3 linked regions of the Ovis aries genome follow. The protein of the gene in region 2 interacts with the protein of the main gene of each other region in a biochemical or structural test. Links are inferred from orthologs where the notes say so. Each region holds a gene or a part of one and is shown on either strand. Other genes may lie near its edges.

The links.
Region 1: of the proteins of NFE2L2 (region 2) and GSK3B, one has a biochemical effect on the other in vitro, tested with the Homo sapiens proteins (2 studies listed by BioGRID). The link is inferred for Ovis aries from reciprocal best matches to the Homo sapiens genes NFE2L2 and GSK3B.
Region 3: the proteins of NFE2L2 (region 2) and ENC1 form a complex in vitro, tested with the Homo sapiens proteins (2 studies listed by BioGRID). The link is inferred for Ovis aries from reciprocal best matches to the Homo sapiens genes NFE2L2 and ENC1.

What each region holds. Positions count from the first base shown.
Region 1 is NC_056054.1:185,710,455-185,721,223, reverse strand, and holds the start of GSK3B (glycogen synthase kinase-3 beta), read left to right. Parts: upstream 1-5,643; coding exon 5,644-5,731; intron 5,732-10,769. UniProt on the Homo sapiens protein: Constitutively active protein kinase that acts as a negative regulator in the hormonal control of glucose homeostasis, Wnt signaling and regulation of transcription factors and microtubules, by phosphorylating and inactivating glycogen synthase (GYS1 or GYS2), EIF2B, CTNNB1/beta-catenin, APC, AXIN1, DPYSL2/CRMP2, JUN, NFATC1/NFATC, MAPT/TAU and MACF1.
Region 2 is NC_056055.1:132,848,744-132,859,546, forward strand, and holds the start of NFE2L2 (nuclear factor erythroid 2-related factor 2), read left to right. Parts: upstream 1-4,492; 5' UTR 4,493-4,640; coding exon 4,641-4,685; exon of another isoform or gene 4,686-5,035; intron 5,036-5,170; exon of another isoform or gene 5,171-5,408; intron 5,409-5,825; exon of another isoform or gene 5,826-5,855; intron 5,856-10,803.
Region 3 is NC_056069.1:7,080,904-7,090,906, forward strand, and holds part of ENC1 (ectoderm-neural cortex protein 1), read left to right. Parts: 5' UTR 1-360; intron 361-4,175; 5' UTR 4,176-4,186; coding exon 4,187-5,956; 3' UTR 5,957-5,988; intron 5,989-9,969; 3' UTR 9,970-10,003. UniProt on the Homo sapiens protein: Actin-binding protein involved in the regulation of neuronal process formation and in differentiation of neural crest cells.

The sequences.
Region 1 (10,769 bases), on a different chromosome or scaffold from region 2:
GGTGGGCTGCCGTCTATGGGGTCGCACAGAGTCGGACACGACTGAAGTGACTTAGCAGCAGCAGCAGCAAAGTGTCATATGTTGCTGAAAAATTTAAAAAGCAGGAGCATACATCATATTCACAGTCCCTTCTAGGCTGTGGATTCATCTCCTGTATTGTTTCCCTGTATTATGGACCATGTGACACCTCTTCCTTTGATGTAGGGACTGAGGAGAGGGCATTAGTGTCTACCAGTAAATTAACCATTAGAAAGGTAATTTCTTACTTTTAAAGGTAAAAATAAGATCTAGTAGTTCCAGCATTCCAAATGATCATCCTATATAACCTCTGGGTATATACAGTCAACTTTGGAGACCAGTCATTTAAATCCAGCTTGGAAAATGATCTCTGGGCCACTTTTCTTCCATAGTTGTTCAGATGACATTATGGTGTTCTCTGTTTACACATCTCCACTCTATAAGAGCTCCTCTAAGACTGGAGCAAGACAGTCATCTCTGAATGACTTTTATTCATCCTCACACTCCCATATTCCTAAAATTTGGCACAGCATCCTGTAAATCAAATTGATTTAACCACACTGAGTAGTTTCACACTGCTACTTCTTTTCTTTGATTCTTTTGCAGTCTTATCTTTGTTTTCTCTTTTTAAGTATTTTGTTTCTTATGTAAAGGTGGAAAATGAAGACAATACTGGAAAGCATTAATACAATAAGCATCATCCAAAATGCCATCAAAATTAGTATTTCTAGACTTCTGTGTGTGGGCAGACACACACACACATGCCGTTTTACATAATTGGGATAAACAATGTTATTTGTTGATGGAAGACAGAGATCTAGTATTAATAGAAAGAGGCTGGATCAAATATACTTGGCTATAGATTTCATCCCAGTGCTGCCATTTTTTAATTGTGTGACCTTGTGCAACGTATCTATTGCTCATTTACCCCACATCTGTTAACAGGAGTTAATAATGCCTGTCTCTTGAGGTTTAGGGAAGCACTGAACAGGCATTCAGTAAATGCACATTTATTTTTCCTTCCTCTTAATCTTCACATTGACCTTGATACTGGAAGGCTTTCCTAGGGTTTATTACTAAACAACTTCTGTATCTCATAGTATCTGAGTGCAAGTATCTAGAGCAGAGACCATACTTATTAAATTTTGAAAACCAGCACCCAACATCATTTAGGTATTTAATATACATTGGCTAAGTAAAGGAGATCCTAGGAGTTTGCTTGTGGGCTTGTGTGTGAACTGACAGGCCCTGGGTTCATCTAAATAAACAGCATCTCATATTCTATTTGCTATCCTCATTATTACACCTGCCTATACTTTCTTCTAGTTTCAGTTAAAAATGTAGCTAACTTATTCTGAGCAAGACATCTGTAGTTTCCTCATCTGTAAAAACAGAATAATAGTTCCATAATGGTACTCTGTAAACTTAACATATTATACAAATACTTATTATTACTCTAGAACCCAGTTCATTGTGCATTTTATCCTTTGGACAGGCTTACCCACCTCCTTCCCCCAACTACAATACTCACCTGTTCTGTGTCACTCAGCTTTCTTGTATCTTTTTCTAGCCCTCTGGTTACTTTGGCTCGGAATCACTGATCTCTCCAAGGGACCAACTGATGAGCCCTAACAGAACCCAAAGCACACACAGTTGAAGACATAAGGCTTAGACTTTAAGATAAAGCAAGACCAGGGAAGGTGAGGACTGTGTTTGAGAGAAGTACAAGGAACCTGAATCCTAGGTCTGCTTACTTTAGCTCTGTGGACCTTAGGTAAGTCAGTATATATTTCTGACCTTTAGTTTCCTTTAAGTGGAGGTGATAACAGTACTTATACTGTATGATTATAATCTGAGATAGCATGTGTGAAACACTTAAGAACAGTGTCTGGCACATTATAAACACATAAATATTAAAATTACTATAAACTGATAAGTGGTTAACAGCAAGTGAGAAGGTAGAGTAAGTTTGAAAGGTCAGAGAATCATTGAATGTTACTTTCAGTGATACTGTATTTTCTCATAAATTTCTCCCCTCCTTATGTCCTAATTCTAAATTGAACTACTTTTTGTTTTCCTATAAGACTCACCTCCCCACCCTATCCCCCGATCAGATTTTTTTTTAAGTGTCAGTTCAAAATTGAAGGCAGCAACAGTAGAGCTACTAATCATAACCTCAAGGTAGACTATTTTTGTACTTTATTATATAAAATAGAATAGCTGTTTCCAATTTGTATAACCTAAACATTTGTCATTCAGCTTCCTGCCAGTATAACTGGGAGTTGAGATGGGGAGTAAAGGCAGGATTTCTAGCTTTACCTCACAGCAGTTTAGGGACTAGTGGCAAAGGTCTACATGGTAGTTTGCAGGGAGAGGCAACAATCATTTGACAAAGGTGCCATGCACTGAGTTTGCTTTCAACATTCTTTACCCTTCTCCATGACATCCAGAGACCTCATGTTCTGTCTTCACTGCAAAGAACAAGAGCTTCTACCACTCCTGGACTATCAAAAACCTATGTCCAGATTTGAGATTACAAATTGATTGCAGGTTGGTCACATCTACCCTGGAATGTTTTTAGTTTGGCCTGCAGAGTTTGGAAATACTGGTGTAAAAATCGAGAGATTTCATACAAAAATCGTGCTTTATAAGGGTTTCTCCTGGTGGGGATGGGGGGAAGGGGACAGAATATCTCAGACCACTGTATCCACATTCTTCAGGGCAACAATCTGCTGGAGCCGAACAGCTGCTCCTTTCAGTTACAGCACAGACACTCCAATTTGCCACGTTGCTTGTCACTCCCCATTGTCTACACCAGGCCAGTTTCACTCATTTACTTTACTTTTCTGGCCCCTAAAAACATGTGAGTTTGCAAACCCTATCTAGACCTTTCCTGTCCTCCATCAAAGATTACTCTGTTCTGTCCTAAGTTCCTCATCAGTTTTCCAAAGCAATAGCTAGTTAACCTGATCAAGTAATTTTTATATGTGCTCGCTACAGATGGTATCTGAATAGAAAGGGATGACTCTGCAGGTGGAAATTACAGGCACCATGGGATTACAATTAGGATGGCAACTGTTCATTTTACTTTTTCTGTAACCGTAACTCACTGTCCTTGGGCACACCCCAGGAATCTGAACACTGGCCTATGTGCGAAACCTACTTAAATAGTACTTTTATAGATCACCCTCGTTCCAAAAAACTAAAAACTATCAAGGGCTATTCTGGCTCCCCGTTGCCTCAGAGGCTTCGGGATATCCGGCCTGACTGCACTTCCCCTCACCTGCTTTCGGGGGCCGTTCTGCGCCGACTGGTCGCACCCCAGAAGGGCGCTCAGCCAGCATGAGCTCATTTCTCAGGGGCCTTTCTGGAAGGCCGGGCTTGGCAGCGCGCACGAGGCGCAGTCGCCCTCACTCTTATCAATGGCCTCCGCGACTGGGCGGGGCGCGGTCGCCCAGGGGCGCTGCCTCTCTAGAAGCTTTGTTCTCAGTTTAATGTCTGAAAACTCGCACTCGGCCTGAGAAGCGCCCTGGATCTGTCTGACCGTTTCGGGAAAGACGCCCGTACTCGGGATGCGCTCTCCCGGGCGGAGGGGAACCCCGGGCGCGCAGAATTAGCCCCGCCCCACAGAGAGCCTCCAGTGGGTGGGGAAAGCCCCTCAATCAGTTTGTTGGAGCGAGGGACCCAGCGCCACCGACCACACCAGTTTCGCACCGCCTCGCGCTCCCTATATGCGGTTTCCACACCAGCTGCGAGTAGCCGCAGGCGAGGCCGTCAGACCGTCCGCCACGACCCCAGTCGCGCTTCTCCCCGCTCCTAGGACTGCCGCCGGAGGCTGAAGGCCAATCATACTGCAGCTAGGTCTTGCGATTAGACAGCAGCGAGTGCAGATTGGCTACTGCTACGAGTTTCGGCCTCCCTCCCTTTCCCTTTTGCCCCCATTCCAGCTCCTGAGCTTCAGGCCAATGAAAAAGCGCTTTATAGACGCCCTCCCTTCGCTCTCTACTTCTCCCCACCTCGGCGAGGGAGGAGGCGTCCTGACTGGCCAGACTGTCCTCGGAAGCCCCATTCCCTTCACCAATCACCGAGGGTGCTGCACTCCCAGCGGAGTTTCGGCCAATTACAAAGCGGCCACGGCGCCCAGCCGTGCGGTTTCGCCAGCGACTCCGGGCTTCACTGTCCTTAACTCTTCAAGCTTTTCCTGAGGGCCAGCGACTCTGATTGGTCACTGCCGAATTTCTCCTCCAGCCAGCCACAGAACAAGGCGAACCCACCTTTTCCTCGGTCGGCTATCTTCGGCATTTTCCGTCCTTGGGCGTGAATTTCCAGCGACACTTTCTGATTGGCTCTTCAGGTCGATCGGCTTTTTCCGGGAGGATCCGCAAACAAACGACATCCGTGATTGGTTCCGCTCGGGTTTCGGCTCCCCTGTCGAAGGGGGCGGACGCCCCGCTCGGCCGGCGATTCCCAGACGCCTCTTACGCGGGCGGCGGGGCGCTGGGCGGTGTAAGGCTGGGTGGGGGAGGAAGGAGGCGGAGGACGAGTAGGAGGGGGGAGGGGGAGTGGGGAAGAGCTAGGCGGCTGCGCAGACGGCACTCCTCACAGAGAGCAGCCCCCGACCCGGGCGAATGCGGGCTCGTGCTGCTGCTGCTGCTGCTGCTGCTGCCGCCGCCGCCGCCGCCGCCCGGGCCGAGTGACAAAGGAAGGAAGGAAGGAAGCGAGGAGGAGCCGACCCCGCAGCCGCTGACAGGGCTCCGGACTGGGGGCAAAGCGCGGACACTTCCTGAGCGGGACTGTGCAGAAGCGAGGGGCGGGAGGGCGGCCGCGCTGGTGCCTTGGACGGGGGAGGGGGCCCCCGAGGGACGGAAGCGGTTGCCGGGTTCCCATGTCCCCGGCGTATGGGGAGCAGTCGAGGAGCCGCTGCCTGGGGTCTGAAGGGAGCTGCCTCCGCCGCCGCCGCCGCCATGGCCGCTGGATCCAGCCGCCGCCTGCAGCTGCTCCTGGCGCAATGAGGGGAAGAGCCGCCGCCACCGCCCGACTCTGACTGACTCGCGACTCCGCCGCCTTCCAGTTCGCCGGGCCCCCACCGTCAGCCCGCCGGATCCTTGCCGCTGCCGGAGCCGCAGCGTTTCCCGACGCATCTCCGAGCCACCCCTCCCTCTCCCTCCCTCCTTCCCATCCCCCCTTCTTTTCAAGCGTGAGACTCGTGATCCTTCCGCCGCTTCCCTTCTTCATTGACTCGGAAAAAAAATCCCCGAGGAAAATATAATATTCAGAGTACTTATTTTCAATCCAGTATTTGTCCCCGTTTCACGTGATATATATTTTTTAGGATCTCCCACCCATTTCTGCCCTCCAAGGAAAAGGAGGGGAAAGAATTGTAATTTTTTCCCAGCCCCGGATCGTCTATATGTTAAATATCCGTACTGATCTGTCTTCAAGGAGAAATACATCGCTCGCTTTTTTAAATAGCTGTACAAAAGGAGTGAAAAGGCAAGAGGACGAAGTCTTTTTCCTGTGGGAAAACTTAATGCTGCATTTATCATTAACCTAACACCCCAACATAAAACAAAAGGAAGAAAAGGAGGAAGGAAGGAAAAAAGGTGATTCGGTAAAAGAGTGATCATGTCAGGGCGGCCCAGAACCACCTCCTTTGCGGAGAGCTGCAAGCCAGTGCAGCAGCCTTCAGCTTTTGGCAGCATGAAAGTTAGCAGTGAGTATTGATTTTATTTTACACCCCTTCTCCACCTCCCCTTTGAATAAGAGACTTTGAAATACCAGGATCTTAAAATACGAGACCTGCTGATAAAACAGAGGTAATGGGAAAGGGCAAAAACCTGTCTTCAGTCAAGGATGAGGCAGCTTCCTTTTTTCCTCCTCCCATATCCCTTCTCCGGTCTCATTAACCTTGAATCGGGGGAATGGGATTTTTATTTAGATGATTCTGTCTGAAACTTAGTTCTTTTCTTACAGTTTTCTAGCAATTGATAGTCAGCTTTATTAAGTGGTTGAGTGTTTCCACCTTAAAATAGTGATGGAAGTGTTTACTTGCTCATCCTTTTGATTAAAGCGAAGGACAAGACTCATAAACCATTATGTGCTTTTCCAGAGTGTGTCTTTTGGAATGAGGGATAGTTTAGTTCGCTCAGGTCTCGAGGGTTACCATAGTTTTGTATACTTAATGGAAGAGGTGAATGTCACCGTCTCCTAACATTTCTTTCTTACTTGTGTGACTATACAAAGTGTTTGTTCTTAATCCAGAGATGAACTCGCTAAGTAACCACATTTCGGTTGGAAGGCGAGCTTTGATTTGTCTCTTTAGAAGGGACGGGTACCGCTGATAGATACTCAGTAGCAGTAGTATCTCAACATGCATTGTTCTAAATTGGATACGCGGTTTAATATGTTATCTCTTAACCTTACCGTTTTGACATTGCCAATCTACCACTATAGAGTTAATGTTTAATCAAAAGGTAACTTGAAAGTAGGTCCGAGTTTTGAATGGGGCTTATATTGTCATGTTGCTAAATAGTAAGTTGAATGTTAATTGTCACTGACTCATCATTAAAGTTCAGCTTTGGGGTGCCATTGCTTTCAGTACTTGCTAAATGATCTAGAGTTCAGATGTTCCTTCTTAGGACTGCTTACAATACTCTCGCATTGTTTTCCTTTCGAATTCAGATAAGGCTATGAAGTTAGAAGAATATGGATTTAGACTTTATCATCATAGGTTTTGCAGAAGGTTGTGGTCCCAGATTTAATAGAGGTATTTGGGCTTTGTTCAAGGCTGTTGCTAGACGTCTATACTCTCTTCCCAGATTTGTGCTCAAAAAGTCTATTTTGAGTGTTTGGTATACTAAGTATCCAGTGTTTTAACGTATCTCTAGTTATGGATATGTTTATGTGATATTTAATGTCAGTTTATTTAAATATACTTAAAGAATTCGACAAAAATATCTATTATAGTTTCCTTATTCCTTCAGAAAGGAGCATGAATGAGGGCAAAGAAAAACTTTTACTGCTTAGAAGAAGGAGAGAATTGAATTGAGATTTTTTTTAAAAAGGTATATGCTGTTATGTGAAATTGATTATAAAATGAACACTCTTACTTGAACTCAGGATTTCAGTTCATGGTGGCTTTTGGAACTTGTCTGAAACAGGGTAGTCTAAGGTAATAGCTGAATGGGAGATTATTTTTGAGAGTTAAATTTTTTTTTTGGTGACTAGCTAGTTCAGAATGCAGAGTATGTGAAGAGGGAAGCTGATGATGCATCTTTCAGGGAATGGTCAAGCTTTCTAAGCACTTCATGGGGTCATTTGAGAGGAATATTTTAAAATTCTGGGGTAATTTTCAGCTATGATGAAGCAAATCTTATAATAGCTCCTTAAGAGCCTCTTGTGGTACTGGAGTGTTAGGATGTTTTTCATCTTGGTTTAAAGACCACTTGAAATCAATTTTAGGTAATTAGTTTATTCAGAGAGCAGAATGGGATACCTAATAATATTAAATTTGGGGACTTTTCATTTAGTTCACAGGATTTTCTATGAATCCTTTGTGGATGTTGACTGAAGATGGAGTAACTCTTGCAAAGTGCAGGTGAAAATGTTGACTTTTCTGTTACCATATAGGTCAGCTTAACATTTAAAAGATTGGAGTTCAGTGTTGACTATGTGTTTTTGACAACCGTAACTTTAAATACATTTTGGAAGAAAGCCTTTGTTGGAATGCTGGTGTTCTAAGGGACCCCTGTTTAAGCGATAAGAAATTATAGTCCTTGCCTTGAAAAGCTTATCAGTTTTTGAGGCAGATTATGGGACAAAACGTGAAAACAGTAATATGATGACTGCAAGATTATAAATGCAAATAGAATACTTTGTTCAGAGGAACAAAAAATAAAGGCATGAGGTAGATGGCTTGGAGAGAAGACTTCTTACAGAGGTATGTTTTAAGGCAGGTGTTAAAGGAGGCAGTAACTTATATTGAGAAGCATAAAGGATTCTAGGTGGACAGAATGGACAGAGGCACAGAGATGGTGACTTTTGTATTTTTGTATTTATAAAGCAGGTTAGTAAATCTGAATAAAAGGGGCCTAAATAGGAAAATAAGAAGAGATGGAATTTGAGAAATATGTTAACTGATGGAAAGCAGAGGGGGCTTATGATTATGGTTGAGATTCAAGAGAGTTTGGAATTTACTATAGGTTGATGAACAAAATATTTGAAGATGGTTTGGGCAGCAAAGTTGATGAATTAGAAACCAGACGTCAGAGCCCTTTTAGGGAGTAGTAGAGTATGTTGTGAATAGTGAGGCAATATAAAGCAAAATTGAAAATCGGATGAAAAGAACACATTTGAGAGACAGCGTGAATGAACTGGTAGGACTTTGGATTGGATTGAAGGGGGGAGTATTTGGGAAGGAGTCAGGAGTTAAAAATAAATTCTGATGTTACTGGTCTGGAAGATTTGACCGCCAAGTTATATTGTTGATTGTAATGGGAAAGTTGAGAAAGTGCTGAGATGGGAGGATAGATGAGTTCACTTTTTAAAAATTTAATATTTAGATTTTCTTGAAATTCAGCAGACAGCAGTTGGTTACTGGCTATCGTATTTAACTTAACAGTCTGTTTATTGCACTGTCTCTAATTTTTCTATGTCTAAAAATGCTGGATTTATTTTCAGGAGTAGTAAACTGAAAGTTTTTATTTATATTCTTTCCATTTCTCAAAAAGAAAATAATTTTTAATGTAAATTCAAAAGATCTCATACTTGAAACCTAGTTATAATAACCCGATGGTAATTTATTTGAAAACAATGAAAATATTTTTTGGACTAAGCTGTAACATAAGCATTTTAGGTATTTTATACAGCCTTCAATCTTTGGTACATTCTTAAAACTAGTTTCATAAATAATGGTTATTTTAGGTAAACCTTGCTGTTTAAAATAATGTTAATATGCAGACTTCAGCAGAAATTAAAAGTTGATTTATTCATTTATTTACTTTTTGTGTTTTGGTTGCGCTAAGTGTTCATCCGGTTTAGAAGAGTATATTTGATTTTTTTTTTTTAAACCTCAATGTTGTGTAACTATTTTTTTTTTTGGTCTGCATTCATATTCAAGTGTTATTAGATAAATGTTAATAGCTAGACAGTTCTTCTGTAGAGTCACATGATATTTTACTCAAAATGGAGGCAGTAAGGTGCTATGGTGATTTTTTATTAAAATATTAGTAATAAGTCTTTTGATAAACTGTTAGTGAAAATTTAGCTAGTTGCCTAGCTAAGTCATGAGAAGTTATTTCCTCATACAGGATTTTTTATATCAAATTTCTTTAGTGAAGAGAATAATAGTAGTTGCATATTGCTGTGCAGTATTTAGTTGCATGGTGGCTAAAGCCAAAGAGTAGGTGGCAACTTAGAGTTACTCTATTCCTGAGAGAGTTTAATCTCTTTGTGTCATATAAAAATCAGGTTATTAGAATTTCACTAGTTTCTAGATTTTCCAATGTGAAAGAGAGCTCATGTGTGAAACTGAAAACCAGAATTTTATCTTCGTTAAAATTTCATTCCCTTCCCAACCAGACCTTTCCAGAGTTGTTAAAAAACTAGACCCTCATATAAGAATTGCATGCTGTCTTGTTAAATGTACCCCTAGAGTGCTAATTGTGAAATGACTTAAAGGCACAAGGGAACCCAGAGATTCATAAATCAATTCACGACTGATTGGGAATTGCGTTTAGAAAACGAGGTGACATCTTCTCATTTCATTTGCGTGCTTCAGCTGGAAATCATCACATACTTGTACCCTGTGCTGTCTGCCCCGTGTTGTGGACTTGGGTTGCCAGTGTGAGACACTGTTTTGGAGAGACAGGCAGGCTGGGGAAGCCAGCTTAAGTGTCAGCAGCAGATTCTGAGATCAGGGGAGGTCTGCTTTTGTGTGTGTTTTTTCTTTATGTATAGAGAAGGCTGTACCACAGTTCCATGCTTAACACTCATGGGATAGTGGGCAGGCTGTGGGACTGTGGAGTCTCTTGTGATGCTCCACCCTGCAAGAGGAGAATGGAGGGGCAGAGCATGTGGGTGTGATGGGATTATATCTGGTACTAACAGGACCAACCTGATTTCCCAGATATTGTTCTACTAAGAACATAATCACCATGAGTAAATAAGTTTATTGGTATGTTTAGCATCATTTTTGTAGCCTATTTTGAGGGGCGGCAGTTGAAGGGAGTGGTGTGGAGAGGAGGGAAATCTTGCATGATTGTGAGGATAGAAATGTTTTCATGGTTCATTGATTTTAAAGTAGAGGTTGCAATCTTTGCTTCTATCTTGGGTTGTACAAATCATCCTTAGTTATATAATTGTCTTTGACTTCGGTTGAGTGTGATATAGAAATGTTTATTTATGTGAAGACCTATGTGAATAGAGAGCTTCCCTGGTGACTCAGATGGTAAAGAATCTGCCTGCAGTGCAAGGGACACAGGTTCATCTCTTGAGTCTGCAGGATCCCCTGGAGGAGGGCACGGCAGCCCACTCCAGCACTCTTGCCTGGAGAAGTCCATGGACGGAGGAGCCTGGTGGGCTGCAGTCCATGGGGTCCCAAAGAGTCAGACAGGACTGAGCACATACTCTCATGTGAATAGAAAAGCAAGGAAAACCTGACATAAAGGAGAACAATTTGTTTCCCCAGAAGTTTCTTATCATTAAATTGATAAAAATCGGTGTTTATTTCTATTTATTATTACAGTTTTTAT
Region 2 (10,803 bases):
AATCTTTGAACAATCCAGAAAAGTACAAAGATGAAAGTGAGAAGTACCTGACATTCAGAGTCCATTATTAATACTTGGTAACCAGTCTTGCAGTCACAGCTCTAGGTGTGTTTTTCTGTACTCTAATTTCCCCATGCAGCAACGTTATGTATGAACAGCTTTGCCATCACTTGATCCTGCACTTCTCTATGTACTCTTAACATGCATCTTTATCCGGGGGCTCCTATTCTGCAGAGCGAAACTCTGAAAATATAGCAGCAGATTGAAAGAGCAACAGATCTTGAGACCCTTACTACATCTACACCTAAAAATGTGGTCAAATTCTCCAGGCTCCTCTCTAGTAAACACAGAATGGAAATATTTGTAAATCTTGTGGTTAAAATTCAATTTGAAAATGAAATGGACCCAGCGTCTTGGGAGAAAAGCAAGGGTTCCTCCTTTACCTCTGTACCCCAATGCCACTTTTTTTTCTGCTTATTACTATAAAAGTAATATATGTTTTTTTAGGAAAATGCAGGCAGGCAAAAATGAGAAAAAATAAAAAGCATTTGTAACCTAATCAGAGTAATTGTGGATAACATTTTAGAATGTGTATGTTTGTCTTTTTTCCTATGCATATATTTTTGTGTAGGTATCAACATACATAATTCAAAAGCACTCTTTTAAACTTCCAGGTTTTTCTCTTCACACACTGCATTGCAGTTCCTGTAGGGCACTCATTCTATTATGAGCAGGAAACTACAAGAGTTAAAACCGGCTTTGGTAATATACAACTCTTTGTATCAGTAGCTTGCACAGTGAGGTGTGCTCACCAAGGAACCAATGTTATGGGTGTGTTTCTAAACTAATACACCTATTATTCTGAACACTACTGTATTGAAGTTAAGTTTATCCACTGGGCATGATGCTACTGAAGTTCAAATTCCCTCAGCAGATACCCAGCAAGGATGTTACATAACTGGGATAAATGAGGTCATGTTAGGGCCAAAATCTCTGTATGCATATATACCTCAATCTACTTAACTGATGGAATATCTGTGTTCCTTAAGTGTATTTGCATAAAGAGAATATCTCACCATCATCTGTCTAATGGTGTGATACTGATACATACTGTGATGAGGTGATTTACTTTGCATGTAGCAGTGAAGAGGGTATAACATAGGGAAAATGCCTTCTTCATTTACAGGGTGGTCAATTGCTCCTGAGGGTTTGAGACTCTTATTAAACTGCAAAGTACCATCCCTATATGTGACGCCAATAATTGTTAACAAACAGAAAGCAGCCAGGAGAAAACTTGTCTTTGATATTCAATATATGCTGTTTGGTTATCTATTGCTATGAAACAGACCACCCCAAAATGTAGTGGCTAAAAACAATTTATTACAATCTCTCACAATTCTTTGGGCTGACTGGGCTCACCCAGGCAGTCTTCTGCTGGTCTTGCTTGGAGTCTCTCATATATGGTTGCAGTCACATAGCAGCTGGGGCTGAGGTCTCCTGGGGTTCAACTGGGCGGCTAGAAGAGCTGGTCTGGCTTCTTCACTCACATGTCTGGTGCCTTGGTTCACATAGCTGCTCTTTCCACTTGAAGTCCCATCCCCAGGGCTTTTCCCCACAGCTTCTCTTCCCACAAAGATAGTCAGACTTCTTATATGATGGCTGACTTCTAAGACTGTGAAATTAAAAGCTGTCAGGCCCTTTTAAAGCTTAGCGGAGACTTGGCATAGTGTCACTTCCGGCCTTGTGTAAGTTACAGCAAGTCTCAGGGCCAGCCTTGATGCGATGTAGGGGACTACACAAGCACAGCAACACGCCAGGAGGGGCAGTTCACTCAGTGCCATCTGGGGAATCTGGCTACTGGATCTGCTCCCGCTGGAGGCTGTACAAATTTAGAATTTTAACAATAATGCCAAGGGAGTTTGGATACTTTCTTGGTGAAACATGGAGTACAGTGAAAAGGAATAAGCAGAGGGAAGAAGCCTCACGGTGATGGAGGACTTTGGAAACAGTAGGTACTTTCTTGGTTCTTGCAAATTTGGCAGATTAGATCACGGAGAAGGTGAAATAAAGGGATCATTGCATCACTATTTTCCAAACTTTGCATGCTTGGAAGGTTTACCTGACGATGCTTGTTTTTTACGACAGTTCTGGAACTAAGTATTACAACTTGGTCACGCATCTCAAGCGTACCCGGAGGGTTCTCTTTCTAAGGATGGCAAAGAACTCAGATATAAACAGAAACATACACAGGTTAGTAGCATGTGAAGCCAATTGAGTGGGAAAATAAAATAGCAAGGAGAGCCTGTCAGTAAAATAACTCCCATGGCAACAGGACAGGAGAGAAAACCCAGCATCCTGGAACTTCTCAGTGCACAGTATCTGTGCCTTCATGGCACTGCATTCAAGTTTAGAGGGCAAGGCCTCGTTTCTCACATGGATATGATCTTGGATCAGAGTTCTGCAAAGACCAGCAACCTCCTTGATGTGGGTGGTCTGAGACTGGGGTTTCCTCCTCTTGTGCTGAATCCCCATTTAATGCCAAACAGCTTTTTTTTAGCTGTTTCCTTAATTTTTCTTAAACATGTTCAGACTCTTATTGTATTGTCCTCCTCCCTTTGAAAATATGTACTCTGCAGGTGCCTGAAATAATATACTCCCAGTAATTGCAGTTTTGCAAAAGTAAAGTTTATTTTATTCAGTCTAAACTCAACGGAAATTTGTTGCCCAACAAGGAAATACCAAATTTTATAAGCCGCTGGAGGGCAGCCATCATGTCGTATATGACTTTGTTATTGCCTGCCTCCTGTGCTCTCTGTCTACCTTCTCCATGTACTAATTTTAATAAGTAACTTGAATTGTTAGCAATATACTCTGGTGCCATTCTTTGACACAGAAATGTCATTTCATAATGTCTCTGCATATTCCATGTCAGGTTCACTGTAAATCACTTCTCCTGAGCTTGTTGTTAGTGTGCAGATCATTTTGCAGCCTTCTCACTTAACAGCTGAAAGTTTAATTCAAATTGAAGAAACTTACTTCAATTACAGGCAATTAATTTAGGCTTCACTTACCTTAAGAAATATTCCAACATATAAATCAACAGGTAAGTCCTGGGAGGGTCAAATTACGCAACCAAGAGAAAGTAAGTTCTTTGCAGCTTTGGGGGCGTTGGTCTGCTGTAGTCAGGCTTTTATGGTTTTCTTTTTCTTTTTTTGGCGTCAGGTTTTTGAATGAAATAGTAAAACCAGTGCCAGACACTGTCTACTCCACCTGGTTTTGCATAATTCGAAGAAGTGATAAACTGAAAATCAGGCTTGTTAAAGAGCTAGAAAGAGTGCTGTTGCATAAGAGAAAACAAAACTAAACCATTTCTCTATTCTTTTTTAAATCATAAGATTTCACAATATTCCTGTTTTCAAGTACTTGAAGTTTGCTCTGGGCACTGACTACTTTTTAAATAATTGTTTTTAAGGTGCAGTGAATAATACACATTTATCGTAGATTTAAAACATACTTAAAGTAACAAAGAGATAAAAATCATTCAAGGTCCTGCAACTATTAATATTACTAGTAATATTTTGAAGAACTTTTTTTTTTCTAGGTACATGCTTTCACAGAACGGGTCCATACTACACAGTTTTATAACTTGTTTTTTGCGTTTTTGTTTTTAAAATCGTATCTTGAGTACGTGAAAACTTCTAGAGGTTATGACACGTTTGTAATATCGAACAGGGTTAAAAATCGCCATCTATGGTGTGGCGTGTGCACTCTGGTGGGAAGAGAATGCTCCGGATGGGCAAGCTCGACCACTCTCCGATCCAAAGAGACTTCTCCATTCGCCCTCGGGGACTGAAGCCTGGCCAGAGTGCAAGGCGTGGGAGTAAGTGGAGGGCGATCAGGGTGACCGAGCACGAGCTCCCCGCGCGGTCCACTCTTCCCCCGGGCCAGTCTCACTGGCTGAGCCGGAGCGAGAGGGCAGCTCGCCGTGAGCTGGGCCCAGGTCCCGGCTTCCGGCCCCCACCCCCCGGGCTGGCGCCACTCTCGGGCGGTGGGGAGAGAGAAAGCCGGGCAAGGTTCTGCAAATCCAAAGCAGGGAGGCGCAGCTCCGATACCATCGCCTTTGCCGAGTCTCCAAGCATGTTTGTTTCAACTGTTTAAACTGTTTCAAAGCACCCGAACCCCAGCGACCTTCGGCAAACAACTCAATCCCACGGGCGGGGAGCGATGGCCGTATTCGCTAGAAGGGCAAACTGACAGCGGAGGCAGGCGAGCTTCGGGGGCCTTCCTCCGGCACTCTGCCTGCCCGCAGCCGCCCCTGAGACCCCCGCCCGCAACTCTTTCCCGCCCCAGGACGGCCAGCTTCTTGCGTCAGCCCGGCGAGGGTGGGGGATTTTCGGAAGGTCGGCCCGGGCGGCTGGCTGGGGAAGGAAGGGCCTTGGGCTCTCGCCCCGCCCTCGCGGGGCGGGAGGCGGAGCGGGACAAGAGCCCGATCGGCGACTCCGGCCAAGTCAGGGAGAAGCGAGTTCCTAGGATCCCCCAGGAGCCGCCGCCGCCACCAGTACCGCCGTGTCCGCTCCAAGCCTCGGCAGCCGGAACAGGGCCGCCGTCGGGGAGCCTCAAAGCACCGTCCCCAGCTCAGCATGATGGACTTGGAGCTGCCCCCGCCGGGACTGCCGTCCCAGCAGGTGGTGCCAGGACGGGAGCAGGGGCGCGAGGGAGCCGCGGCCCGGGAGGGACAGCCGCATCGGCCTCTTTCCCCGTCTGTGGCCGGAGCGGACTGCAGCTGCCGCGCACACACCAGAGCCGCCGCGCTTGAGCTGGGGCCGGGGGAGGGGAGTGGCGACCCCAAGGGCTGCGAGGGGTATGGGGGCGCGGGGAATGGTGTGACTGACAACGCGCCCGCAGCCCCCGAGGGCGGTAGGGTTGGGGTTGGGGGGCTACGCCAGCGCGCGTGGGGGCGAAGTGCGTCTCTAACCGCGTCCCCGGTCGCCGGAGCCGAGATGCTGGAGCCGCGGCCGGCCCCCTCTCCGAGTTTGAGCGGCCGGGAGGCAACCGGGTAGGAGAGGGCGGACACTGGCGGTCTGAGCCGGCGCGGCCCGGCCCTTCCGGGGCTGCGCGGCTCCCCCGCCTCGGAGCCGGCAAAAATGTGCCTAGTCACGGGGCCACTCTCGGGGGAACTGAGGTCTCCGGGCTGGGACCCGGAACCCCTCCTCTGCCGCTGCTCCTCTGCTCAAGACCTCCGCGGGCGCGAGCCGCGGCGCTCTTACCCTGCTGAGGGTTCTCTTAGGCAGAGTGATCAATCACTCCAGCCTTGCGATCGCCCTGAGGCCGCTTGGCGAAAATGCCCAGCTCCCAGGGTGGGGGCAGGAGGAGGTCACCAAGCGCCCAGCGCACTCGGTTTCCCCGACGTACGGCGATCGAACCCTGCCCTGCGCGCCGCCTCGCCCCGAGGGAAGGGTTCGGGCTCTTAGAACTCTGAGTCGGCCCCTAGCAATACGCCGGCAAGGGCGGGTGGGGCGGTGGACTCTGAAGTCCGACGGGCCTTCGCCCCCCACCCCACCCCAGCTCCCCGGGGCTTCTCGATCCCGGCGCTGTGCTTCCCGGTGGCGCACGCCGCGAGCGTCGTCCCGGCGCCGTGACAGTGGCCGGTTGGCTGTCACGGCGGCCCTCAGTGGGCCCTTTCCTGCTTTGTAGCGTGCAAACCTTGCCGCGCCGGGGCCAAGGGACAAGTTGGAGCTGTTGATCTGTTGCGCAATTGTTATTTTCCCTAGGGCGGCTTTGTCTTTGGATTTAGCGTTTCGGAATTGCAATTCCAAAATGTGTAAGGCAGGATATTCTGTTCTCTGCTGTCAAGGGTAAGAATTTCGAGTGTAGATTAGCATTTCTGTTGTTTTTAGGCTGTTACTAAATGTTGCGCTTTCATACATTGTTTCTCTTTTGGGTGCTTTATGTAGTTTTCCTTTTCTGTTTGAGAATTTGCCTCAATTGCTTTCCTAGTATGTTGCTTTTGAGAGGGCAGAGGGTGGGACAGCTGTGTCTCATAAAACTTCGCTAACAAGTTCTGTAAATGTCGCAAATGTGGGAACAAGTTTCTGTGTATATTTTGTAGGGACTTTTTAAAGGAGTAGATAGTTTTATTTCCAATTTGTGCGTGTGAATGCGTTTTTTGGAAAAATATTTAGTTCAAGGAAATGTGTAACCTAATAGGAACGGTAAATATATTTAAGCTCTTAAACATCAAGCTTTAGACTAATCCTGAAGTAAGGTTTTGATATATTGACAATGTAGTGATTGTGCCTTTTTTTTCCCTTGGAAGCTGTTGTCTTGAACTTTCCCCCAGTAGTGATTAAGACTGTGTTCCTTCCTCCCCACGATATGAAGAAATAAATTGTGCTTTCCGATTCAGCTGCTGTTCAGTCCCTATAGCCATTTCTTTAATAATCTATATGACCAAAGGATATATGATGCTAATGGACTCTAGTTTTCCCAGATTCAGGAATGTAGCCTAGAGGGGTATATTACTGAAGTTTTTATTTCTTTCTTAACTATATAATTTACCATTCCATATACAAAAGTGGGTAAACATCTTTACTGCTTTTTCTTTTAAATGTGAACTTTCCAATTATGTTTGTTAAGGTAACTCCCTTTCCACCCTTTGTAATCAGACCTCAGTTTGCATATGCGAAGAGTATAAAAGAAAATGGAATAAAATTTAGAGTTAATGTCATGCCTGTAACTAAGATTCATATTAAATCTTTGTAGTCCAGGAAGATTTGGACAGAGTCATAAGTGGATTCTAACCTCTTGTCAAAGAAACACCAGGCAGGAGGTGGTACGGGGGTAAAAGTTCTTCCCCCTTTGTGCAAAGGAGGTGTTGATGAAGAGCAGTAGAGTTTTACATTCTGAATTTCCATTAGCTTCTGGAAGGAATCATCTACCCTTTTCAAAGCTGTCTTGGAGAAAGTATTTTTGCATATGAGGAATGAAGTTGATCTTGGACTAGGTAGGTAACTTCCAAAGAAAAATAAGGCCTCCCTCTCATCTCCAGAAGGTTGAGCAAAGAACAACTTGACTTTTTAGATATTTGGAAAAAAACCTCTTGAGAGATTGTGAAAGATTGTAGTAGGATAAAAACGTAACTCACATCAGTCTGCATTAAAAGTAGCATGGGCCATTTTGGACTCTTTCTTGTCAACTTGGGTTTTTATAAACAGTGCTGGGAGGGGAAACCCCAAAATCTGACTTTCTTTAGGATAATCAGGAAGAATTGAAAGCTAAATACACGAATTTTACTTACAGAGCTACATGAGAAAAAGAAACCTCTGTGGGCTAGAAGCACTTTTTTTTTCCCCGGGGAATTTCCTCTCTACTGGCGGAACACATTTAAAGGGGGGTTTGCGTAAATATTTCTTCTTTGATTTTTCCTTCATCTGGGGTTCACTCGTCAGTGCATATTCTTGGATTCAGGAGTTTGGCACTCAGATAATCGTAGATGAGTTATTGGACACTTACTTGTGTGCCAGGCGGTACGATAATTGCTTCACATGTATAATTTCACAGTCACCGTGTAGAAAATACTGTCTCCAGTTTCTAGGTGAGGAAAGAGGCATAAAGCAGCCAGGGTCCTGGGTCCTGGTTAAAGTGACTCAACTATTGAGTGGCAGAGGTGGGATTCAAACCCTGGTAGAAGGACCCCACTTCCGAAGTAGACCAAGACTAGTTAACTTTAAACAGAAGGAAACTCTTACGCTTGTAAAAATGGACAAATCGAGAAAAACTACAAGAAGCACAGGTAGGAATTTAAAAGATTAATCTTTGCACCTTTTCCAGTTACCAAGAAATTTAATAAGTGTGTTTGTGAGGGGTGAGGTCGACCTTGAATACAGTGAAAGTAAATACAACCTGAAACTTTTCAGAAAGACTAAGAGGCCTAGCGGGGTTTGATTTAGAGAGGCAAGACCATTTCTTAATTTAATAATAGTTTTTAAAATTTCTGATATTTCAGCAGTATCTGAGATTCTGCCTTACATTTTTCAGGGACTGTTTTTCAAATCTCTTAGCTCCTGGTGACTTTAATTTTATTTGCCTTGTTAGTTGGTACATACTCCTGTTCCATTGGTTCTTTTTATCTGGAAATAGTGGTCAAAAATAAGTTTCGTAGTGAAGATGTTTGGTAGTGAATATGCTGAAGAGTGGGACAGACAGGGTTAAACCTGGTTGAAGGAAAGTGGAGAGAATGGGGAGAATTTGACTTGAAAACAACTAGTGGAAACCTGTTGGTTCAAATTAAACACTCATCTCCTGTTTCGGCATTTCTGAACTGAAGCAGGCATAAGGGCTCAAATCTGTCTAATTGAAGCCTTCTTGGGGTTTTGTGACTAGTACATTTCAAAGTTTAATACTTTATTTCTTAGTCCTTATCTTTAAACTGGAGAAAGAAATGGCAACCCACTCCAGTATTCTTGTCTGGAGAATCCCATGGACAAAGGAGCCTGGTGGGCTACAGTCCACTGGGTTGCAAAGAGTTGGACACGACTGAGCGACTTCACTTTATCTTTAAACAGGTTGTTCTCGGAATTATTATTGTCTTGTTTGTCTGAGTTAAGGATGCTTCAGGCTTTTCCAGATTCAGTGGATAATTTGCCTAAAAATTAATCTGACAACTCCCAGCATATTTAAAAGCCTGGCCCAGCCACTTCTGAAAGTTTGCTGGAATCTGCTGTTGCACAGCAGGGTTGTTCGTTCTTTAGTTGCTAAGTTGTGTCCGACTTTGTGACCGCATGAACTGTAGCCCGGCAGGGTCCTCTCTCCATGGCATTTCCCAGGCAAGAATACTGAACTGGGCTGCCGTTTCCTTCTCCAGGGGATCTTCTTGATTGAGGGATCGAACCCCTGTCTCCTGCATTGGCAGGCACATTCTTTACCACTGAGCCACCAGGGAAGCCCACCCAGCAGGGTATAGAAGGATGAATGTACTAAAGGCAATATTCAGCCGGCTTCCCTCACCAGTGGCTGCATGTTTAAGTGTACTGTAGAATGGAGAACAGAGTTTATATTCTGATAATAACGATTTCTATGAGTTTTAAAATGTAGTTACCAGCTGCTTTTCAATATGCTCTAACAGACATTTATTAAAGGGGCTCTAAGATACAGACCAAGGCTTCTTTCATTGATAATGGTATGTTTTCTGGAAATGAGTGCAAAAAATACGTTCAAGTGTATAACATTCCCAAAAAGTATTAGCAAAATACAAGTGTTCTTATACTAACTTTCCCCGCCAAGACAAAGCAAGATGGCTAAACAAAATCTTATCTTGCCTGAAGTTGGAGTTTTCTCTGGGTCAGCCCCTGCCACAGTAAACACTTTTTAACTATTATTATGAAGAATTTTAGGAACATTGAGGATTGGAAGCACGGTTTTAAAAATTGGAGTGTAATTGCTTTACAGTATTGTGCTAGCTTCTGCTGTACCGCAGTGCGAATCAGCTATAAGTAGACATATGTGCCCTCCCTCCGGGACCTCCCTCCCATCTCACCCCTGGGTCGTCACAGATCACCAAGCTGAGCTTCCTGGCATATGTCCTGCAACACCTTCAAAGCCTCATAAAATCTTTCTCTGTGCGTGAGCATGTAAGTTTATTTGGCCCAAACTGTGGTAGAAGTGAAGACGAAGCCAGGACATAAGAGATACTTAGAGCACCAAATCCATCCTTCAAAGACCTTGCTGGTAATTGAAAGTCACTATCATTCAGCAGCAGCCTGTATCTTGCTTTTGCTGTTGTTATTGTTGTTCGGGTGTTTTTGGATCTCTGGATGGCTTGTGGGGATCGTCCCTGACCCAGAGAGTGAACCCAGGCCAGCAGCGAAAGCCCTGAATCCTAACCACTCGGGCCACCGGGGAATTCCCAACAGCCTGTATCCTGAAGGATTAAAAAAAATGCCCTGGCAGTGCTAAGTTAGTCATGCTTTTTCTCACAAACTTCGATGATTGAGACTCCCAGCCCTGTGACATCGACAGCGTACTGGTGAGATCCAGCCTCTCCGTTGCTTTTCTTCAAATCAGAGAAGAATGATTGGGTAATAAAAGAAAACTGTCGGATGATTTTGGCTTTGAAGCCTTCTTCCAAACTTAAGAGTTTATTTTCTGCATTAGGCAGTTCTCCTCAATCACTTTTTAAAATCTCCGATACCTGTCTTATATATGCAGCTGTTCTTTCCCTCTACAATTTGATTGTAAGTTCCTTGAGAGCTGGGCATAGAATTTATATTTGTCTCTTCTTTAAATAGATTTAAGAGATGTAAGCCCCATACAGTCCACCCATTTAAAGTGGACAGTTCGGTGACTGAGTGTATTCAGACTAGTACAGCCATCACCACATCAATTTTAGAACATTTTCATCACCCCGGGAAGAAACAGACCCATTAGCACTCACCCCCCATTTCCCTTCAGCTCTCTTAGTTCCTAGTAACCACTCATTATACTCTTATCTCTATGGATTTGTCTCCTGGATATTTCATAGAAATGAAATCATAGCCTGGCCGGTTCTGTGTGACTGGCTTCTTTAACTTAACATGTTTACATAGTTTGACCGTATTGTATCGTATATCAGGACTTTGTACATTTTATTGCTGAATACTATTCCATTATATGGATACACTACATGTTATTTGTTCCCTCTTCAGTTCATGGCCATTTGGGTTGTTTCTACTTTATATATATTTTTGCTCCTGATAGCAAAAATATATGGTTCTTAAAATGTGCTATATGTTAGAGTCACCACCCGTATTTAAAATGCTGATGCCC
Region 3 (10,003 bases), on a different chromosome or scaffold from region 2:
ACCGAGTGGAGACGCCAGGCGGCCGCCGGCGCGCACGGCTCTTTCCAGCTCCCTCCCCCGAGCGTTCAGCCCGCCTCCTTCCGCGGCGCCTGCGGCCGCTGGCTCCCTCTTCCCTCCCGAGCGCCCTCCGGGAGCTGCTCCGCGGGTGGCAGGCACAGAGTCCGTGACCTGGGAGTCGTGAGACCGCGGCGATCAGCCCGCGGTGACCAGCCAGCGAGCCGGAGCCCCATGCGCGCTCCTTTCGCCGGGGCAGTCGCTGTTGCTCCCTGGGGCTGAGACGTCTGCTCCGTCGCCTCCCCGCCGGGTTACCGAGGCCAGACCCAACTAACTGGTTGTGCACTGTGGCCGGCCGCCACTGCTGTAAGTCTCCGCCACCGCCGCGGACCTGTTGCGGGCGCCGTGGGTGTCAGGTCTGCCTGTGTGTGTGCGTGCGCGCGCACCGCGGAGCCTGGAGCTCCGACTTAGGGGGCGGCGGGGAACTGCTCTCGGGCGGAGACCCCGGCCCGCCGCTGCGCTCCTCTGGCAGGCAGAGCCGGGCACTGCCCGAGGGGCCTCCTCTGAGCCGCTGGGGAGAGAGGAGCTCAGCCAGGATACGATCGACACCCCCCCGCGCCCCGCCGCCCCACTCCCCTCCGCGGGAAGGGCTGTGCCTAGCGCGCGGGATTGTTTGTCCCCTTGCACCCTACGCGGCACTGGAGTCACGCACAGACACCCCTAGTAAGGGCATGTTCACTGCGGCCAGATGTCTGTGGGGAATGAATGAAAACTGCTTTCTAAAAAATTATTTTTTTTGTCATTCAGGTTGTTTAGCCTTAACATGGTTAGTTTCGAAGGATAGGAATTGGTAGGCGGGGTGGAGATGAACCGCTGAACTTGGCGTGTATCTGGTGTCGCCCACACGGGCATGTGTTGAAGAGCGTTACAAGTGCTATAGAGGACTCTATGGTAAAATGCTTTTCTTGTTAACAGTCTCTTTATAGTGTTGTTCCTTTGTTATCAATAATGTAAATTGCCTGAGAAAATCTGCCCAGTTTCTCCTTCGATGGCCTGGAGATCAGGTTCAAAACTTAAAGAAATGTGACGCGCTGCTAAGTATTGGAGGCTGAGATCCTGGTTAAAGAGCATTAAGTGAACTGAAGTTACTGTAGCCAGAATTCCTTTTGATGTTCACTGGTAATAGCAGCCCTTTTCGCCTTCTCTGTAGAGGCAGGTTAAGTATATGTGTGCGTTTTTTGGCCACTTACTTGGCATGCAAATATTATTTCTCTGGGGGCTTAAAAAATGCCAAAAGGATGATTCATTCTGTGTTGAAGGTGTGTTTAGAGTCTGTGTACATGGTTTCTGCTGATGTTTTCATGTTTGCATACTTTTAAACCAAAAGACAAGTTGTCTCCCTTGGGTCTTCAAGTGTACCTTTTAATCAAATATTCCTGCAAGATTGTTGGATTTTGACTGTGACACACTTCTCCATCTGGGTGGCATCCAAGATGACAGGCTAGGCTCTTCTGCTGGCTTTTGAACCTACTTGGGAAATCCAGGAGCATAAACACAGGCTGTAAAGAGATGCAGATCCTATATCCCAGTCTTCTAAACTGTTATGTTAAGTATAAGCCTGGCTATGAGTGTTGTTTTACACTGCTCAGGGAAATGCCTTCTGGGCCTGGTGGGTGTGATTCCAGTTCAATCTGCAGGCACTTTGGTGCTTCTGTACCTTGTGCAAGAACCTCATTCTTCTGTCAGCTGCATTCAGTCTCAGCCAGAAAGAAGGCAGCTTTTTTTTTTTTTTTAATTGAAATACAGTTGATTTACAATGTTGTTAGTTTCAGGTATACAGCAAAGTATTCAGAATACACACAGGTTTATGAATTCTTTTCCATTATAGGCTATTGCAGGACACTGAGTATATATGCTGTACGGTAGGTCCTATACTATACAGTAGGTCCTTGTTGGCTGTCTACTGTATATATAGTAGTGTGTGTATTTTAATCCCAAACTCCTAATTTATTCCTCCTTTCCCCCTTGGTAACCATAAGTTTGTTTTCTATGTGTGTGTCTATTTCTGTTTTGTAAATAAGTTCATTTCTATCTTTTTTAAAAAAGGTTTTCCATTTGCGCAATATCATATGACGTTTGTCTTTATCTGACCGACTTTGTGTGATAATCTCTAGGTCCATCCAAGGGAGGCAGGTTTTGAGATTGCTTTGGAAGCATTCGTTAAAAAAAAACATTAGAAAGCATAGCTACTCATTTGGAATTCTTGCAAGTTTCTATATAAGGCATAAGAGTATTTATACCATTTTTTGAGGTTTAGGCTAAAACTCTTCTTCAAAGTACTGAAGACTGAATGTGCTCATGCTCATGTGACTGCAGCAGTTGAACAGCAGGGATGCTAATTCAGGTTTTGAACACATTGGAGAACCTGGTGCATTTACACAGGGTCCTGTCGGAGCATTGGGCCTTGGGTGACATGGACTAGACCTTAGAGGCTTAGCTTGACGTGGGGGTGATGCTGGCCTCTTCACCATTTGTCACAGCTCAGGTCACTGTGGAGACTGATGGGTGCTTCCTAAAGTCTTAACACCAGAGCCCTAGGACTCTGTTGTTTATTTTCTTCTCCAGTAAATCATGGTTACTCATGATGAAAAGTTACATGCCTAAAATAAAAGAAAACAAGTTGCAACTCCTAATATATGAGACCAGTGAGTCAAAGGCACCTGCCTCTGTTGTTCTCTGTGCCTGCCTTGCCTCCGCTGGTCAGGTTGAAGGAAACAAGGCTGGTAAGGACTAGCTGTTCCCTGTTTGGAACAGATACTGTATCAATGCAGTTCACCGTCCTGGAATAAACAGCTTCCCTACGAATCCTCTGACAGGCGGGTTCCTGAAGCCTTTATTCCTTTGACTTAACAGAAGAGTAGGGTTAAAAAGGAAGAAGATAATTCAATTTTTGAACATAGGTGATAGGCATGTCCTGTATCTTTAGCTTACACTTTGATTACTGAGGAAAGCCAAAGAGTCGATTTGGTTCTGCTATAATTCCCATTTAGATACTGAGGAAAGCACTGTAGTCGGCAAATAAATTCTAGAGTGACCGTAAGTTAACAATGGCTGGCAACACACATACACGCACACACACACACGTGTGTATGTGTGTTTTGATTTAGATAACATCTGCATTCTGATCTCCCTATATGCAGGTGCCAGCATTTGCAAGTACCCAGGGATGGCCCTGGTGATCCCTGTGTAATCGAGAGAGAGCAGTGGATACACGCTTTGTTCTTGAAGCTGGTTTTCTAAGAAGTAACTTAAAGCAGGGAGAATAGAACATTGGAACTCCTGAGTTTGCTACTCAAACTAGTCTTTCTTTTCTGGGCACAAATCCCCATTTTGGAAGCTGGCCAGAGCAGAAAAGGTGGGTGGTAATTGGGGCCAGAGTCTATTCTGTGTTTCCAGGATAGCTTGCTGATCAGTATATGGTCATGTTTATATTGGGGCTCTTTTAGGACTGAAGTGGTAGAGGTGTCTGGTTAGAAATGATTTGTAATGTTAAGTAAATGTTTGGTCACTTCAGAAGCTGGCTTACACCTGTGGCTTTAGTGTTACATTTCCCATTTACTGTACCTACACTGTGGTAAAGACAGTGGGTATTACCAAAGGAATTCTTAATGGAATTAATTAGTAGGTATTTGTCTTACACATGGCTTTATGTTGCATAGGGCATTAAAACTTGTGCCCATCCCGGCGTTACGAGAGCTGGAGGCCTGGCACTGCAAGTGACCAACCCTGAATCAGCTGGACCAGGGCAGGGACCTGTGAGAATGAGAGCTTGATCCTCTTGGCTTTTGCTGACTTACATTCTCAAGGACCTTCAACATCCTGAAAGTTGGCAATCAGGTTTTCCAAGATGAACCTGCTCTTGAGCAGTGACTTTTTTTTTTTTAAACAACGTATAGGTTACATAGCTCAACAGTAGTGTAAGTGCCTTTCTTTATCAGTAACTGTCTCTGGCTTTGGATGGGCCTGGCCAGCCATTATTCAGATTAGTAGGCAGCGGGGCCCACAGCGCAGTGTTCTGTTCCCTCGTGTCTTTTGTCTTCTGGTTTTGACTGGGGCTCTGGCTCGGCTGTTCCGCACACTGCGAGCATCTCTGTTCAGTAGTTGTGTCTGGTTTTTTGCAGGAGTGGAAACAATGTCTGTCAGTGTGCACGAGAACCGCAAGTCCAGGGCCAGCAGTGGCTCCATCAACATCTACCTGTTCCACAAGTCCTCCTACGCAGACAGTGTCCTCACTCACCTGAACCTGTTGCGCCAGCAGCGCCTCTTCACTGATGTCCTTCTCCATGCGGGCAACAGGACCTTCCCTTGTCACCGGGCAGTGCTGGCTGCGTGCAGCCGCTACTTCGAAGCCATGTTCAGCGGGGGCCTGAAAGAGAGCCAGGACAGTGAAGTCAACTTCGACAATTCCATCCACCCGGAAGTCTTGGAGCTGCTCCTCGACTATGCCTACTCCTCCCGGGTCATCATCAATGAAGAAAATGCAGAATCGCTCCTGGAAGCCGGCGACATGCTGGAGTTTCAAGACATCCGGGATGCGTGTGCCGAGTTCCTGGAAAAGAACCTGCACCCCACCAACTGCCTGGGCATGCTGCTGCTGTCCGACGCGCACCAGTGCACCAAGCTGTACGAGCTCTCCTGGCGGATGTGTCTCAGCAACTTTCAGACCATCAGGAAGAACGAAGATTTCCTGCAGCTGCCCCAGGACATGGTCGTGCAGCTCTTGTCCAGTGAAGAGCTGGAGACCGAAGACGAAAGGCTTGTGTACGAGTCTGCAATTAACTGGATCAGCTACGACCTGAAGAAGCGCTACTGCTACCTCCCAGAGCTGTTGCAGACGGTGCGGCTGGCGCTGCTGCCGGCCATCTATCTCATGGAGAATGTGGCCATGGAAGAACTCATCACCAAGCAGAGGAAGAGCAAGGAGATCGTGGAAGAGGCCATCAGGTGCAAACTGAAAATCCTGCAGAACGACGGTGTGGTGACCAGCCTCTGTGCCCGGCCCCGGAAAACCGGCCATGCCCTCTTCCTCTTGGGAGGACAGACTTTCATGTGTGACAAACTGTACCTGGTCGACCAGAAGGCCAAAGAGATCATTCCCAAGGCTGACATCCCAAGCCCGAGGAAAGAATTCAGTGCGTGTGCAATTGGCTGCAAAGTATACATTACTGGGGGGCGAGGGTCTGAGAATGGAGTCTCGAAAGACGTCTGGGTGTATGATACCCTGCATGAGGAGTGGTCCAAGGCGGCCCCCATGCTGGTGGCCAGGTTTGGCCACGGCTCTGCTGAACTCAAGCACTGCCTGTATGTGGTCGGCGGGCACACTGCCGCCACTGGCTGCCTCCCAGCCTCCCCCTCAGTCTCTCTGAAGCAAGTGGAACATTACGACCCCACAACCAACAAATGGACCATGGTGGCTCCCCTCCGAGAAGGGGTCAGCAACGCCGCAGTGGTGAGTGCCAAGCTCAAGCTGTTTGCTTTTGGGGGTACCAGTGTCAGTCATGACAAGCTCCCCAAAGTTCAGTGTTACGATCAGTGTGAAAACAGGTGGACGGTCCCAGCCACCTGTCCGCAGCCCTGGCGTTACACGGCGGCAGCTGTGCTGGGCAACCAGATTTTTATTATGGGGGGAGATACTGAGTTCTCCGCCTGCTCTGCATATAAATTCAACAGCGAAACTTACCAGTGGACCAAGGTGGGAGACGTGACGGCAAAGCGCATGAGCTGCCACGCCGTGGCCTCCGGAAACAAACTCTACGTGGTTGGAGGGTACTTTGGCATTCAGCGATGCAAAACTCTGGACTGCTACGACCCAACATTGGATGCGTGGAACAGCATCACCACAGTCCCGTACTCACTGATCCCTACTGCGTTTGTCAGCACCTGGAAACATCTGCCTTCTTAAATGCCTTGCATCCTGGAGAGGGTGAGCGTGAGGTAAGTCAGCTTAGCTGTAAGTATCTGTATAGTTGAGAGAGCTGTTTCAGCTCGTACGTGGAATAAGACAGGCTCCATATAGCCCATCCTATAGAGGTACCACACAATCTATACCAATAAAAGCACTTGCACCCCAAAGCTTAAACACTTGTGTTGACCACAGCTGCAACACGCGCCACCGCCCCCCCCCCCCCCAGATCATCAGCAAGTGGTTCTCAGCCTCTACTGAGCCTCAGAATCTCCCAAGCAGCTTTCCAAAATCTGCACACCCCAGAGGCTGGGTTTGTTGGGTCTGGATGGGTCCTAGGCATTAGCATTTTTAGAAAGTTCTTCAGTGGTTCTAATTATGACCTGGTTGGGAACCCTGACCTATGTTAATAATGCCAGCTGATGTCTTCTGAGCCTTCCCCCTTTGCTGGCTGTTGGGCTCTATGTTTCACATGGATCTTTGCATTTGGTCCCCACAACAACCCTGTGGGATATTATTACAGGAGCACCTTATAGATGAGAACACCTGATGTACAGAGGGGTTAAGTAAGTTGCCTGAGGTCATAGGGCTCAGCAGGCGGAAAGGTTGGTCAAGAGTTCAGCCCAGGCAGTCTGGCTGTAAAGCATAAGCACTTTAGCTCATGCCAAATGGGCATTTAGTACCCTTCACACTGGTATCACCCCAGGAGATAATTGTTGATATTTAAACTGAGCTTCCTCAAACCCTTTTTGGAATGAAGTAGGGTTTCAAAAATTGAATGCTGAAATTATTTCCAGTGTATTCTGTCCAAAATTATTTATTAGCTTATTTAAAATGTCCCCCCACCGCCCCCCCCCCATCCCCAGACTGCCCCCTTTAGGGCATTTACTAACTTTCATGAAATCTGGGTCTGTCCTTGGAAATAGTTGCACCTGCATTGTATGAGCCATCCAAACCGCCCTCCCTGCAGCTTTTCAGAGTTAATCATTCAGGCTGACCCCATTGTCAGGGTGAACAAGAGTTGTGTTTCTGTGTCATATATCTGAGTACATAATGGTTGTCTTGTGTACTTAAGAGTATATCATACTCTTGGTTCAAATAATTAATAGGCCTTCGCAGTTCAGGGTTCAGGGAGCTAATGGCTGCCTTGCTTGCTTGTAAAGCACTCTCGGGATTGGCCCCGAAGTCACTTAAGCATGTGTAAGCGTAGCACAGGGCACGTAGAATGGGTTGATTTGTTTTGGTGACTAGAGGGCTCATTACTAATAATAAGAGGATGAAGTTTAAGAATCTGCTTTGGAGGAGCTGCTTGTGATAATGCACTCATTACTTGGAAAGGTTTGGTTCTGTGTTTAGTATGTTTCATACCTTTCAAGGGGACCATCCAGCAAAGAGGGGGTTTGCACTCTTCATTTGTCTTCTCTTTCCTCATCTCTTACAGCTTGTTTAGAAACACCAGTAAAATTGACCTCCCTTTTACATGTAATCTTTCTGTTTCTTTCATTTCTTCTTCATCTCCTCCCGCCTGTTACAGGTGGTACAGTTCTTAGTAACATAATGTTTACCTGTACTGAGACACCGTCAGGGGTGCAGGACTGTCCTCTGGGGAGCAAATAGGGTAACTGTTCCAAACCAAACTGGTTTTTGCAGCCTTGCTGTCATCTCAGTAATCCTGAATAAACAAATGCTCTGAAAGGGGTTATTTCATTTGCAATATAAATGCATTACTCAACTCTAAAGCAAGTTTAAAGAACCTTCTAGGCAGAAGCATCAATTAACAGCATGCTAAATTGGGTGTTAGTCCAGAATTGACTATATTTGCATAGGAGAGCCTCAAAAATTGCCAGTGACAGTGGGGATACTTCCAAGTGGTAATTGGCTTGGCATCATTGGAGCAAGATAAGGAACTGGAGGCAGAAAGAGAGCGACCATGTGTGTCTGGTTCTAGCCTTCAGCTGTGGAGTCTGGACCTCTCTGCACTTCAGACTTCCCCTTTGTTAAATGAGTGATTCGAATTGTGCTTTCCTTGAGATCTGTCCCAGTTTAGACTTGGATGAATTGATAAATGAGAAAAAAGCAAAGAAAGGGGTAAAAATAGCTAGCCCATGTCTGTGTTTTCTTTCCTCCCTTCAATTTAGACCTTACCTCAAAGTGGAATTAGCTTTATGTGTTGGGGGAAAATGAGGTTTCTATGACTGTTACCTGCTTGTTATCTCTATACTTCATTTTTGGTACCTTCTTTCTCAGCCCAGAGTGAATATGTTAGCAAACATTTGAATTCACCCTCTCCTAGGTCTTTGAACCTATTTAATCACACATGTCCGGCCCCTGGGAAATAGAGCAAAAAAAGTGCTGGGTTATATTCGAAACATATCCTCTCCACTCTTGGTGCTATTAGCCAGAGTCAAGCACAGGATAAGCAAATTTGAGGGGGCTGGATTTGCCTTTTTAAAGGACGGTGTGGGCCTGATCAAAGCCACTCTTGCAGTTTCCGACGGGGAGAATGTTGGTTTAAATTTTTAAAGTTTACTGCACACCAGATAATGTTAAAACACTTAAGCCGGATGGAGTGACTTAAAAGTACTGTGTAGGTATCAGACTTGAGCTGCAAGCGCTTCCGGGACCTGGCTTTGCTTTCCAAATGTAGGTGCTATCTGAATTAATACAGTGTTAACACAAAGTTTCCCTCTGCCTGAAAGCTTATCCACCAAGGTGATTTTAACTCTTTGTTGCTGCTCTGTCAGCCCTGAGAGGGACAGAAAGGAAATGCCTTTGATTTCACTGCGTGTTCATGATGCTCTGTGGCCCCAGCTTGACAACACTTAGATTTGGTTTGCTTTGTTCCCTGCTCCCCTTTCTAGAGGTGTTTTTGTTTTGGGTTTTTTGTTTGTTTGTTTTTCTGTTTGAGTATGCAACATCTTGAAATTTCATATTATTACAAGATACATTCTTTTGGCCTCATGTTGATGTATAGGTTCCAAGGAGGTGCGGGTGGGGGATGACACCGTAGTCTAAGGAATGTCTTGAAAGCTTGAATCACTGTTTTGAAATGGAAGAAACAGCTAATGGAATGAATCAGACTTCTGAATACAGGAGAGAAAGAAGGACTCTGTGAGTGATGAGCGGCCGCTCCTGAATTCCCTTTGTCTCTACTTGGAATTTCAGCATTGGGGCTGCAGATTCCTATGCTAGGGCTGGAAATGTGCTCCAAGACCAGATAGGGGGAGCTTTTCAAAGACAAAAGCCCTCTGCAAACTCTCCTTATGTAAAATTAGACTTAACCAAGTGTGAAGGATGAGTGGTGTGAGAAACCACCAGCTCCCATGAAACCTGCAAGCTTGTGCTCACAGCACCTTGAATTGATGATCGGCGGGCGGTCAGTCCTGTAGGTGATAATGCTGAATGCTGCGTGCCACAGCCCGAGTCTCCTAAGTGTGGACTGATGAACTTGGAGAATAGACTCCAGCCTTGGCTGCTGAGGCCTGGTGTGCTGTCATGTGAAAAGAAGCGAGGCTGACTTCTGCCGTAATGAATAGCAGAGATGCATTTAAATAAGAGGATTAATATGTCTGCTTTCTATATGGTGAATAAACTTAATTTGGAATCCTTTATGGTAAATGGGCCAAAGAGGGTGGGGGTGAGTTGGCAAAGGAATCTTTGGTGATCACTTTACAGTGGCGCTGTTTAACCATGGAGAGGAATTACGCGTATCAGAAGCAGAAGATGTAATAGCACCTAGGTGTATAGGTTTGATTTGCATGTATGTATGGTTAATCAGGAAGTGAGGATCTTTTCTGTGGACACCATTGTTTTTGCTGGAGCGTCTGCCTGCACGAATGCACGAGTGTACTCTTTTAAGTCTGGCATTTTAAATGTCTTTGCACATTGCCTGCCAAATGTGTAATTAAGACCTTTAGAAGCAATATTGACCAGCTCTGTCCTGAGTTTAATTTTTTTTTTTTTTTTTTTAGATTTGAGACTAACAAAAATATCTTCCTCCTCTTCTATTTTAGCTGACTCCATCCCTCGATGAGACAAGATGCGATT